2 linked regions of the Danio rerio genome follow. The protein of the gene in region 1 interacts with the protein of each later gene in a pairwise test. Links are inferred from orthologs where the notes say so. Each region holds a gene or a part of one and is shown in the gene's direction. Other genes may lie near its edges.

Region 1 (6,332 bases):
AATTAACTGAAACTATAAGTAACTGCAATGACATGCCTTGATATATATATATATAATATATTATAATTTTAACAATAATATGTGTACAGTGCTGACCAAATAAACTCACCTCTATATTATTTAAACTGCTGAAATGGTAAAGTAATAACAGAGGAGCGTGCAGCAGACGTCTCAGCAGTGTTAATCTGCTTTAAGCCACTCTGGTCAGACTGGATTACTAATTGGGTGGATTTATGGCTGATTTGGAGACGAGGACACCAATCAAGAGCCTGAAGCGTCTCAGACAAACATTTAAGACCTTTTTTCTGGGTTCAGGTCCTGGTCAGAGGCAGCAAGACCTGAAGGAAACACTTTAAAAGGTAAGAAGTGCTTTAGTATGAAATGTAAAATCTGCAGTTAATATTGTGTATGGTTAATGGAATAAGATCCTGAATGTGTTTTCGTGCTTAGTTATTACTTTATTTGTTTTTAAATGTGTTATATAAAGCCATTGTATGAAGACCGAATCAAAATGTTGCTATAATGCACAGTTGAAGTCTAATTTGTTAGCCTACCTTTAATTTTTTTTTTCTTTTTTAAATATTTCCCAAATGATGTTTTACAGATTCAGGAAATTTTCACAGTATGTCTGATAATATTTTTTGTTCTAGAGAAAGTCTTATTTGTTTTATTTCGGTTAGAATAAAAGCAGTTTTTAATTTTTGAAAAGCGATTTTAAGGTCAAAATTATTAACCCCTTTTAAGCTATATTTTTTATCTATAATCTACAGAACAAACCATCGTTATACAATAACTTGCCTAATTACCCTAACCTGCCTAGTTAACCTAATTAACCTAGTTAAGCCTTTAAATGTCACTTTAAGCTGTATTGAAGTGTCTTGAAAAATATCTAGTCAAATATTATTTACTGTCATCATGACAATGATCAAATAAATCAGTTATTAGAAATGAGCTATTAAAAATATTATGTTTAGAAATGTGTTAAAAATAGCTATATATATATATATATATATATATATATATATATATATATATATATATATATATATATATATATATATATATATATATATATATATATATATACATACATACAGTTAAAGTCAGAATAATTAGCCCTCCTGAATTATTCAATCCCCTGTTTATTTTTTTTTTCCCGTTTTTTGTTTAATGGACAGATTTTTTAACACATTTCCAAACATAACAGTTTTAATAACTCATCTCTAATAACTGATTTATTTTATCTTTGTCATGATGACAGTAAATAATATTAGACTAGATATTTTTCAAGACACTTCTATACAGCTTAAAGTAACATTTAAAGGCTTAACTAGGGTAACTAGGCAGGTTAGGGTAATTAGGCAAGTTATAGTATAATGATGGTTTGTTCTGTAGATTATCGAGAGAAATAATTTGCTTAAAGAGGTTAATAATTATGACATTAAAATGGTGTTTAAAAATTTAAAAACTGCTTTTATTCAAGTCGAAATCAAACAAATCAGACTTTCTCCAGAAGACAAAATATTATTAGACATGCTGTGAAAGTGTCCTGGATGATAAACATTATTCGGGAAATATTTAAAAAAAGAGAAAAAATTCAAAGGGGGGCAAATAATTCTGACTTCAACTGTATGTATATGTATGCATGTATATATCAGTAGACCCCTCACAAATCTCTTTTTTAAATTTATATTTTAAATAGGAAGCTCTACAATATTATATTTGTGCATATACATTAGGTTAGTCAGCACTGAAGCCAAATCTAGAGCTTATCTAACAAAATTACTTACGATAACCCTCCAAAAACCAGTAGAGCCAAATTTAAATGTTATAGAAAACATTAAATACAAATTTTAAAAAGAGAAATTTAGTTACATGCAATATTATACAATGCAATTTTATGCAAATGTAACAATACAATGCAATATTTTGCTTGAACTTAATTGTATTATCTTTCAATTTCTAAATATGTTTGGTGACTTAAAATATTATTTTAATAAATATGTGTGTAATAAATCTGTTTTGTTTAAATGCACCAAAATACATTGTCTGTATTCACTGAGAAATGGAGAAAAACATTTATTTACAAAACAAAGCAAGCATGTTTTTTTAGTTTATTTTTAGTACTGTGACATATGTACAAACTTAGCGCAAACAAGTCCACACATCTCATAACTATTTAGAACAAAATAAAAAAGAGAGCAACAGTATGCAATCAACGTATAAACAAATAAGCACGCGTGTCTGATGTATCGACAGCACAACTTCAATAACAAACATGCTAAAGTAAGCGTGTCGTTTGAATACGAATAAGCGAATCACGTCAGCGCGTGTCATTGGTCCGCCTGCGCCCTGGACACCGTTGCTAAGGAATCCCGTGTACGCGCGTGTGGGTCGGCGGCGCGCAGCTCTCAGTGCTCAGACATGGCGGCGGACCTGAACCCGGACTGGCTGTCTTGCCTGCCTTCCTCTTGGAGTTACGGCGTGACCCGGGACGGACGAGTGTTCTTTATCAAGTAAATATCTGCAGGAACTAAGACTCGGGGATCGGTTTGACTCGAAACCCTCTCATCGGTTGTTTTTTCCCCTCCACCTTCTCTCACCCCCTTTTTTCTCTCACCCAACAGTGAAGAAGCGAAGAGCACAACCTGGCTGCATCCAGTCACAGGAGAAGCCGTCATTACAGGACACAGAAAAACTCCAGGTGAGGCTTTATTTTGATTTATTTTACGAGCGGAGAAATGCAATCAATGCAGTTGCAGAAACCGCAGCTGTGGCTGAACGCGATGCGCGCAGTGTCAATGCGTTCGCGTTGCGTTTCGTGCGTTGCGTTGCATGCAGCACGATTTCTGACAACTTGCGTTCGGTTGCTTTGCGCGCCCACGATCGGTTTGATTGACAGCTGTCACTTGGTTGATCATCTGACCCCATGCACTGAATCATAAATCGTAAACTCCCTTATTAAAACGAGTCTCACATGCGTTATTATCAGCAGTGAATGATCCTCATTGACATGTTGATCTTGCAGATGCATCGCCAGCAATGCTCATATTTTGGGCACTGCAGATCAGAGATGTGCTGCCCAGTCACTCTAGAAAGATGCTGTTTGCATGCAAAAACTCATTGTCCTCGCCTCCTCTCAGCTTTTTAATTAATTAATTTATTTTTTCTTCAGATTTACCCACCGGATGGGAAGAAGGATACACGTTTGAAGGAGCCCGTTGCTTTATCAAGTGAGTTGGAGGTTCAGCTTATTGGCAGAAGGAGGATATTTCACTCTCGCCTGCTTGTTTGACAGCAGCAGTGATTTCAGATCGCCGCCCCCTCACACACACACACACACACACACACACACACATATATATATTCACTCATACACTCATGCCACAGCGTCTCCAGAAATGCTTCGGCTAGCACACTGAAGGTAGGGCTGGGCGATATGACAAAAATCATGATATAAATCACGATAATCGTCTCATATTCTGATAACGATATATATCATGATATAGTACAATTCAATCAATCAATCAATTAATTATTATATGGACCACATGTAAAGCACTATTTATTTATTACATTTTAAAGTATGCATTAATATACTCATTAAAATATGGTCATATTTCTCATGTTATTAATATTAGAACTTCAGGGCAAAGGTTTGATTAAGAATGCAGAAATATGAAAGAAATATTAATACTATTAGTGCTGGGTACAAATTAATCGCATCAGGAATGAAAGTTTGTTTTGGCATAGTTTAATTGCGTTTACTGTGTACATTTACTATTTATATGTAAATACACACATGCATGCATATATTTCAGATGTAAAATATATATGTATATGATACAAATTAGATATATAATTGAATATCTATGTAACAAAATAGTTTTGTATAGCGTTTCTATCACATATAAATAAAAATCATATATAATACACACACATATTATGTCAAAAACTTTTTTTGCACTAAATTAAATATTAACACTGTTCAGGGATGCGTTTCCCAAACAAAGACGTAACTTTCGGCTAACTATTATAGTATGATGCATCGTTTGGGAAGTGAACAATGTAGTGACGAATGTTTCCCAAAACCTGTAGTTTCTCTGTCGCAGATCCATCGTTTAAACAATGTTAGTTTAATGTAAAACACCCATAATGGTGCTCTAAACAGGGTGGTAACAACTTCTTTAGAGAAGAACCCCGTCAGTTCTTTGTGCAAATTATATTGTTTTACATGCACACGCATTTAATAAAAAATCCAATGTTAGTTTTGGTAAAAACATGCACTCATTTTCTATATTACCTGAAATATATGTAAACAGCACATATAGGTCCTGTGTTTCCTTTACAAATATTATTGAGAACATAATATAATAAAATATTGTTAAAAAAATACAAATGTTGTTAAATAAAATGCAAATGTGAACATTGTATTATCAAGTATTGCAACTTTCTCATGATCCTGTTATTTATGTTTATGTCGGCATCTCTGTAATCGCATATAATATAGATCATTAAAGAGATTTACAGTAAACAGTGTATTTAATGATTAGGCATGGGCCGGCATAAGTTTCTGACGGTATAACCTTCAATAAAAACATCACGTTTTCACGGTATTGTGATTACTGCTCTGAAATATATTCTTTTAAAATGTTTGGCTAAAAAGCAGCTACGTTTTCCGCTTTGAACACAATATATTTTAATTTGGGAAACATTTAAGATATTTTGTTACAGTAAATAATTCAAATGAATCATTGACTTCTGCTGTCTTCATTAGTTTCAAAAACACTGATTTCATTACAATTTAAACAGCATCTTTGAGGTAATGTTGTCCAATCAATCAATCAATCAATCAATCAATAAATAAATAAAAAATATTCTTGCCTATACCATGGGAGCGATATAACAGAAAATGTTGGTGCTTTTAAAACCTTGACATTTCCAAACCGCTTTAGACCTTGAAAACGGTTATCGTCCCATTTGTTGCGCCTATTTGTGATACTATGAGCATAATATGAATTAATAGACGTTTTATTTTGTCTATATGAGATATATATTGTCATATTGCACAGCCCTAACTGAAGCTATACACTAGTCTTTAGAGCATTTTCACTCCCCTGTTAAAAAAGAAAAAAGTAATTACCGTGAGGGTGACGGAGGGCTTGACAGGCTCGTGTGATTCAAACCTCTGTTGGCTGAAAACAGGCTCAACTTGTTGGTTTCCACTGAGTGAATCATATTAACCCTATTTTTCTCCACATTGCAGTCCTTTTTCGTGTTAAACTACCTGTTTCAGATGAATCTGTGTGGTTTTTTGTGTGCTAGCAGGTCTTGGTTTGTTTGATAAGCTTGTATTGAGGAGAGCTGATCAAAGTTTTTAGGCTCTGGTGTGCTTTTTTGAATTAGTGAATGAGGCTGATGATTTTTAGGAGTGTTTTCATCTGTGATTGGGTTGAGAATGAGCCAGTTTGCTTTTTGGGATGATGTTTTTGCGTTTTTGGGATGATTATTTGCGTAGATTGTCTGATTGTTTTTATCAGATTTTTTCTTGAGTGGCATAACAGATGCTGGGGTGCATGTTTTATGCTATTTTACTTTGGTCGATTTCCATTTTTGTGGTTTTGAAAGTGGTTGATGTATTAATTAACAGTCCTCTCCCTCTTGTGGCCTTTTTGGCAATATTGGTTGTGGTTGAGGAGTAAATGTTGTGTCTGTATTTTGTGTACATCTCATTGATGCTCATGACAATTCCATATGTACTGTAAGTGTGCTTTGTTGCATTGGCCTAATTCATTGACAGTCTATATTAAGGGTAAGTTTGACATTGTAAATGTTGCTTTATTTATTTATTTTAATCGCTGATGCATTGAAATGACCTTATATTATAAACGCAGTATTACCAACAAAATGTTTTTTTTGCACAAAAAGTTTGATTTATTGAGAAAATTCTGACTCTGAATGTGCATTTTTGCTTTAAAGAGCTTGCTTTATTTTCTTGATCATTGTTGGGTTTCAATGACATATCAATATTATTAGAGAAGAATCGTCCTGCAGATAATTTGCACATTTTCTTAGATTTATTGCATGGGTATTTCAATGGGCTGTTCTGTTTTCCTCATCATTCCTGGCTTCAAATGACATATCAGTATTAATAGAAGTACCATCCTGCAGATAATTTGCACAACACTTTTGATTTATTGTAAAAAACACACAAGAAAACAAAAATAAAAACAGGATCTGTATGTGCATTTTTGCTTTAAAGAAACTGTTTGCTTTAAATGTCCAAACAGGGTTATTAGAAAAGCATCATCATGCAATAATTTCCACAATAC
Region 2 (6,382 bases), on another chromosome or scaffold:
AAAAAAGAAAATTGTCATTTTGAAAATAAGATAAAAAAATTAAAAAAAAGAGGAATTTTATAAACTGAAATTAAACATCTGTTTTATTACTAAAATCAGTGGATTAAAATAAAAGAAAATACATAAAATAAAAAGAAGCAAATTATAGATTTATTTTTAACCACATTAATAATAATAATAATAATAATAATAATAATAATAATAATAATAATAAATTAATACTGGGCCTAAATAATAATGACAAGACATTCTATGACAAGCAAAACATTGTACATTTCTAAATATATTGTTTTAAAAAAATGTGACATACAACTTCAAGTTTTTACAAAAGGAGGAGGATTGGAGACATTAAACAAACTGGTGCATTACGTTTTCAGTTTAATCACTCCAATTTTTGCAAATATGCCACCTGCTTGCTTCAGAAGCACAGTGGGCAACTGCTGTACTATGTTAATTATTACATTATATCTACAGTGTGACACTGCCTCTGACTCTGTTAATGCTAAAATGCCCAGACTTGTGAACAATGAGTGAGGCTGTTTTTGGCACATTTCAGTGATGTTTTTTTTTTTTCAGGGAAGGTTAATATTTTACAGTGGATTTCTTATTTAGCAGGCACATAACAAAAAGTCTACAGTGTAACAGAATATCCTTCAAACTAAAATATGAAAAAAAAGTTAACCCTGACACTACAAACAAGGCATTTGTGATTTAAGATGATCTTGAGCAAGAGAGCATAAAGAGCCTTCTGTCAGAGAAATGACCCAGAGTCCACGCTCACTCTGGGGTGAACTGCAACAAGAAACTGGCCGAAAAACAAATATTTTGTTTAGCTTTACATATTTGATTTTATTTATTGAATAACAAGAACAATAGCATACAAACAAACTGAGGAATACAGTTTTTACATTATCTCAAACATCAAAGGAACAAATCAATAGAGAAAAAAAAATAAATAAATGAATAAAATTACAGGGGATATATAAATTACAAGAAATACGCATACGAAAAATTATTCAAAAAAATCCTTTTTGCATACATGCTTATCGCTTCTTAAAAATATTTTAAATGTATTTTATGGTTTCAATTTTAAGATAAATTTTAAACAAATAAACGTTAGGTTTATCCTTGGCCATTTTTTTTTTGTGTGTGTGTAAATGGGACTTCCCATATTATCATTAAATGAATAATCAAATTTTGCTCAAAAGTTTTTTATTATTATTGTTATTATTATTATTATGTCAAAAAATTACCTTTACAAGAAAGCTTAATTTCTAATTTTTTTTAGATTTAACTATAAAAGATATTGAACATCAAACCAAAACATTTGTGTATATGTGCATTCAAAAAACAGACATATTCTGGATTCCTCTTCTAATTCACAAAAAGTGCACGCAGATTCAATGTTTCTAAAAAAAATTAACAACCTGTTTCACTGTATAAATTTAATTGATTAGTTTGTCACTTCTTTAACTTTATTGGTGAGACAGTATTTACTTGACAAGTTCCAAACTTTTTACCACTCAATCTGCTCAAATAAGCAATTCCAAAAAGGTTTGCATTTAGGCAACAATGTGGTTCTGCAAAACTTTTAAAATGTAGAACTTATTCAATTTATTGCCTATAATTTTCACACCATTATAACTTAACTAATTAGTATGTAACAGGTTGGATTTAGAGGACATATTACCAGATAAGAGCTGAACAAGACAACCAGGAACTGCATCAAATGCTATTGCAAATTCTTTGGCAGTAATCACAATAATAAAGAAATTGACCATTACTTTTGAATAACTGTCGCACCAATATATCATTACTGTACCAATTTCTATAAAATAAATATTTATTTTTAAAGGTTATCCATTTGTTATACATCACTGTATAACAAAGGTTATAGAGCACTGATTTATGTGGAGAAAAAATATGCTTGTAAATAAGCATCCATAGTAAACATACTCGTTAATGAAAAGAGGAACGTTTTATTGGCACCTTGTTAATATCAAAATCACACCTTAAAATAATTCTAAACCCTCCACCTGGTCAAAAACTAATTCAGGGATGATGCTCCAAATTTTGCCTTTATTCAGGCAATTCTTAATCTATTTGTTTTTAAATAGCCTACACGGTGTTGAAGTTAACAACATGGTGACCACTATCTTTAAGTGGCATGCACAAAATTGTCTTCTTTAAATAATGTGGTGTGCTCCTTCATATCAAATTGAACAAAAATTTATCCACCTCTTTTATGACTAAATGTGGAGCATCGAATGCAAGAGCCGTGTATACTAAACGTGACAATCCTTCAGTTTTGGCTTTAATATCCCCCCCTTGACTTACAAATCTCTCATTAACCATAAGTTTATATTTTGTTGCTTTCCTATGAAAAGAAAAACGTGCTGACGTCATCAGCGAAAGGGCGGGGCTAAAGGTTCACTCGACTCAATGTGTTCTGGTGAGTTGACAGACAAAAACAAAACTGCAGAGCAAAAGAAGCGGCATATACTCGTTGTTTTAGATTTTAGTTTAAGCGTGTTTATAACCTTAGTTTATTCGCGCAACATTTGAGAATTTATTACGCTGTTGCTCATCGCATCTTGTGTTTATTGATGTGTGTTAGCAAGCTAGCCTACTGTAGCTCATTGTACAATGAGAACCGCAGAGAGTGAATTTACATCCATTTGAATAATTCTATACTAAAATCACTACAATAATTTTTAAAATACATCTTTCATAACTCTTTATAGCTATAACCAAGCCTGTATTGTTTTATTGTAAAGATGATTAATGACATCATGACGCTATTGATTTTTTTCTCACGTCCAGCTCGACAAACATGGACCAGAAGATTCCGTATGATGATTATCAGCTGCCGGTAGTGTTTCTTCCCTCCTATGAAAACCCTCCTGCATGGATCCCTCCACAAGAAGTACTGAACACTACTATTGCACTTCATTTAATCTTATCATTTGTAATCAAACATAAATCCTAATTATCATCTTTCTTCTTTGTAATCAGAGGATTCATCACCCTGACTATAACAATGAGCTCGCCCAGTTCCTACCTCGCACTATAGTGTTAAAAAAGCCCCCTGGTGCACAGCTGGGCTTCAATATCCGTGGAGGAAAAGCCTCGCAGCTTGGCATATTCATTTCAAAGGTGAGTTCAGCTGTGCTAGTTAAAAACTTGTTCGTCTATTTAAACAATTGACTTAATCGTATGTTGTTTGTGACAGGTGGTGCCAGATTCAGACGCCCACAGGGCAGGACTTCAGGAGGGTGATCAGGTGCTTTCTGTCAATGAAGTGGACTTTCAAGACATTGAGCATTCAAGGGTAAGATCTGACCTGTCAGTCTACGGACAGAAGAACACTGACTGGATATGCCTCTGGATGGATGTGCCTCTAAGCTCAATTGGTCTAATCTTTGATTTGTTTTCTAGGCAGTGGAGATTTTAAAGACAGCAAGAGAGATTTTGATGAAGGTTCGATATTTCCCTTACAGTGAGTATTACAATAATTAATATGACATGACAAATCAAACATTTCCTTTACAGTTTTGAATAACAAATTTCAAATGCAATAGAGGTAAAGTTGGTTTTATATTCGCACATTCGTTCATTTAGCAGTCTCTATATTGTTTACCATGTTACTTTGAATATTCGATCTGAATTAGCATGCGAGTATGACTTCTAAACAACAGTAACACAATCTAATTCACTGTGAACAATGTTGTACTTTGATAGTCATTTGCTGCTAATATGATTTCCCTATTTACAATTTGCAAAGAATATTTTTCTGAAATTATATTACTAAGGAGAAAGTCTGAATATCCGAATATAAAACCAACTTTACCTCTATTCAAATACACGCCATATAGTAAAAGATGCAAGCAAGCTGCATTTTCTCACAACGCAAATATTTGAAAATGTTTCAAGGGGACCCTAAAACATGACGGACCAAGCTATTTAGGTTATGGTTATTTAGGCTAATAAATACTAAAGACACGGGAATCGGGATATGAAAAAAAAATCTTTCAAAGATTACCTAAAACTTCACTGAGCATTATCGCGGACAATACTCACGGCACAGCGGCGTCTGTCACATTTTTGGGTCCACTTGAAACATTTCTGTTGTGTTGTGAGAAAATGCAGTGCGTTTCCCAAATTGTTTGAGGTGTGAGAGTGTAGCACGTTTTTTTAAAAATGTGTTTGCATTGTGAGGATTTGCAGCATGTGTGCAGTGAAACAGATGAAGATCGTTCTCAATTTGCTGTTGTTTTTTTGTAATTGCATGAGTTTTCTTAAATGGCAGCATGTTAAGCTCTCTCGGCCACTGTATGTAAGGGTTAAAATCAGATTTTTGTTTCTTATTAAAATCAGGGTTATTCCAGCAAATATTGATTTTTACTGTTTAAAAACTAATATAAACATGTCTAAAACACAGCAGTTTTTATAACATAATTTTGATCTTATTTCATGCAAACAAAGCTATTTCTTTAACATTTTTATTTTAATTATAGAAGAAATGTCTAAGAATAATACAAAAATCACATCTTATTCAAACATAAAATATGTGCTGCCAAAGTATACAAAACTTCATGAAAGATTTTTAGGTTCACTAAGTGTCATTTTAGCAGATGTCTTCTGTAAATCATAGCAAAAATGTGTGAAAGTTTGTGTTTTTGCTCTGAGGAAAGAAAAAAAAGAAACTGGACTCATTCTTCAGTATGGAAGTAGAGAATTACAGTTAGTTATTAGACGCTCTGTAGTTATGAAATGACTTAATAACTATAATGATTTGACATTCAAATTTTTAAATACTGAAACTGTATGATAATATATTTAAAAAAAAAAATATGTTGGCGTCATGGTGGCGCAGTGGGTAGCATGATCCCCCCACAGCAAGGGTTTGAGCCCCAGCTGGGTCAGTTGGGATTTCTGTGTAAGTTTGCATGTTTTCCCCGTGTTAGGTCAGGTTTCCTCCGGGTGCTCTGGTTTCCCACACAGTCCAAACACATGCGCTATAGGTGAATCGAATAAGCTAAATTGGCCATAGTGTATGTGTATAAATGCAAGAGTGTATGGGTGTTTCCTAGTGTTGGGTTGCAGCTGAAAGGGTATCTGCTGCGTAAAACATATGCTGGATAAGTTGGCGATTCATTACGCTGTGGTGACCCCTAATTAAAATAAAGAGACTAAGCTGAAAAGAAATTGAATTAATGAACGAATAAATATTTTGGGAGATGTCTGCGAGAATGGGGGGCTATATCATATCAAGAACCACTGCATTAGTCTAGTTAAAATAATTAAAACAGGGGTGTCCACACTCAGTCCTGGAGGGCTGGTGTTCTGCAAAGTTTAGTTCCAACTCTAATCAGACAAAGCTGGGCTTGCTAATTGAGCTCTTACTAGGCTTTCTAGAAACATTCTTGCTGGTGTGTTGAGACAAGTTAAAATCTGCATGGACACTGGCCCTTGAGGCCCGAGTTTAGACACCCCTGGCTTAAAAGGATGGCTCAGTCAAAAGTTTTAACTTACTGACCCTCAAGTGGTTCCATACCTTTATAAGTTTCTTTTTTCTGTTGAACACAAAATAAGATAATTGGAAGAATGTCATAAACCTGTAACCATTGACTTTCATAATAGGAAATACTAAGGAATTCAGTGGTTACAGGTTTCCAACATTTTTTCAGAGTAACTTTTTTGTGTTCAACAGAAAAAAGAAACTCAAACAGGTCTGAACGAGTGAGGCGTGAGTAAACGATGACCGAATCCTCAGTTTTGGGTGAACTTTCCCTTCAAGTGACTGTTTCTGGCTGTGCTTGACATCATGAATGTGTTTCCAGATTACCAGCGGCAGAAGGAGAGGACTGTCCACTAGGTGTCAGAGTAGACCTTCAGGAGCGCAGCAGTGCCGTGACGCAGCGATGAGGCGTTGGTGTGTCAGTGAGAAAGGCTCGTCTCCTCTGCATCATCTTCCTCCCACAAACTCTTTTCTCTGCCTAAAAGACTGCTCAAAGAAATCATCTTCAAACACTCCAGCACATGCCTTGATGATTCACATCTAGCGCTGGCTTTTCCAGATGCGTCTCCTGTTTATGTGTGCTTTCATCTGGGAAAACAAGCATATTCTTTGGGACATGAAGAGAAACACATGCTAGAAGTCTTATTTATTAAAAGAACTATATAGAAGTGTAGGGCTAAGGGAAATTCCTGAGTAATTTAGTTTATAAAATGACTGATGTTATAATGACTAATATATCTTGTATTCTTTAAAACCTTTTTCTTTTTTAAGTACATTTCAGTCGTGCATAAGCATTTTGATGTCCTGCTGAAAAACACATTGCTACTGACTAGTTAAATGTCATTCAATTGTGCACATACA

What was found.
Region 2: the proteins of plekha5 (region 1) and pdzd11 interact in binary tests that used the Homo sapiens proteins (3 or more experiments, as listed by UniProt). The two-hybrid records come from large-scale screens. The link is inferred for Danio rerio from reciprocal best matches to the Homo sapiens genes PLEKHA5 and PDZD11.

What each region holds. Positions count from the first base shown.
Region 1 is NC_133179.1:3,484,403-3,490,734, reverse strand, and holds the start of plekha5 (pleckstrin homology domain-containing family A member 5), read left to right. Parts: upstream 1-2,404; 5' UTR 2,405-2,424; coding exon 2,425-2,516; intron 2,517-2,627; coding exon 2,628-2,704; intron 2,705-3,175; coding exon 3,176-3,233; intron 3,234-6,332.
Region 2 is NC_133189.1:37,800,569-37,806,950, forward strand, and holds the start of pdzd11 (PDZ domain-containing protein 11), read left to right. Parts: upstream 1-2,421; 5' UTR 2,422-2,452; intron 2,453-2,823; 5' UTR 2,824-2,833; coding exon 2,834-2,926; intron 2,927-3,015; coding exon 3,016-3,156; intron 3,157-3,232; coding exon 3,233-3,331; intron 3,332-3,438; coding exon 3,439-3,499; intron 3,500-5,843; coding exon 5,844-5,878; 3' UTR 5,879-6,382. UniProt on the Homo sapiens protein: Mediates docking of ADAM10 to zonula adherens by interacting with PLEKHA7 which is required for PLEKHA7 to interact with the ADAM10-binding protein TSPAN33.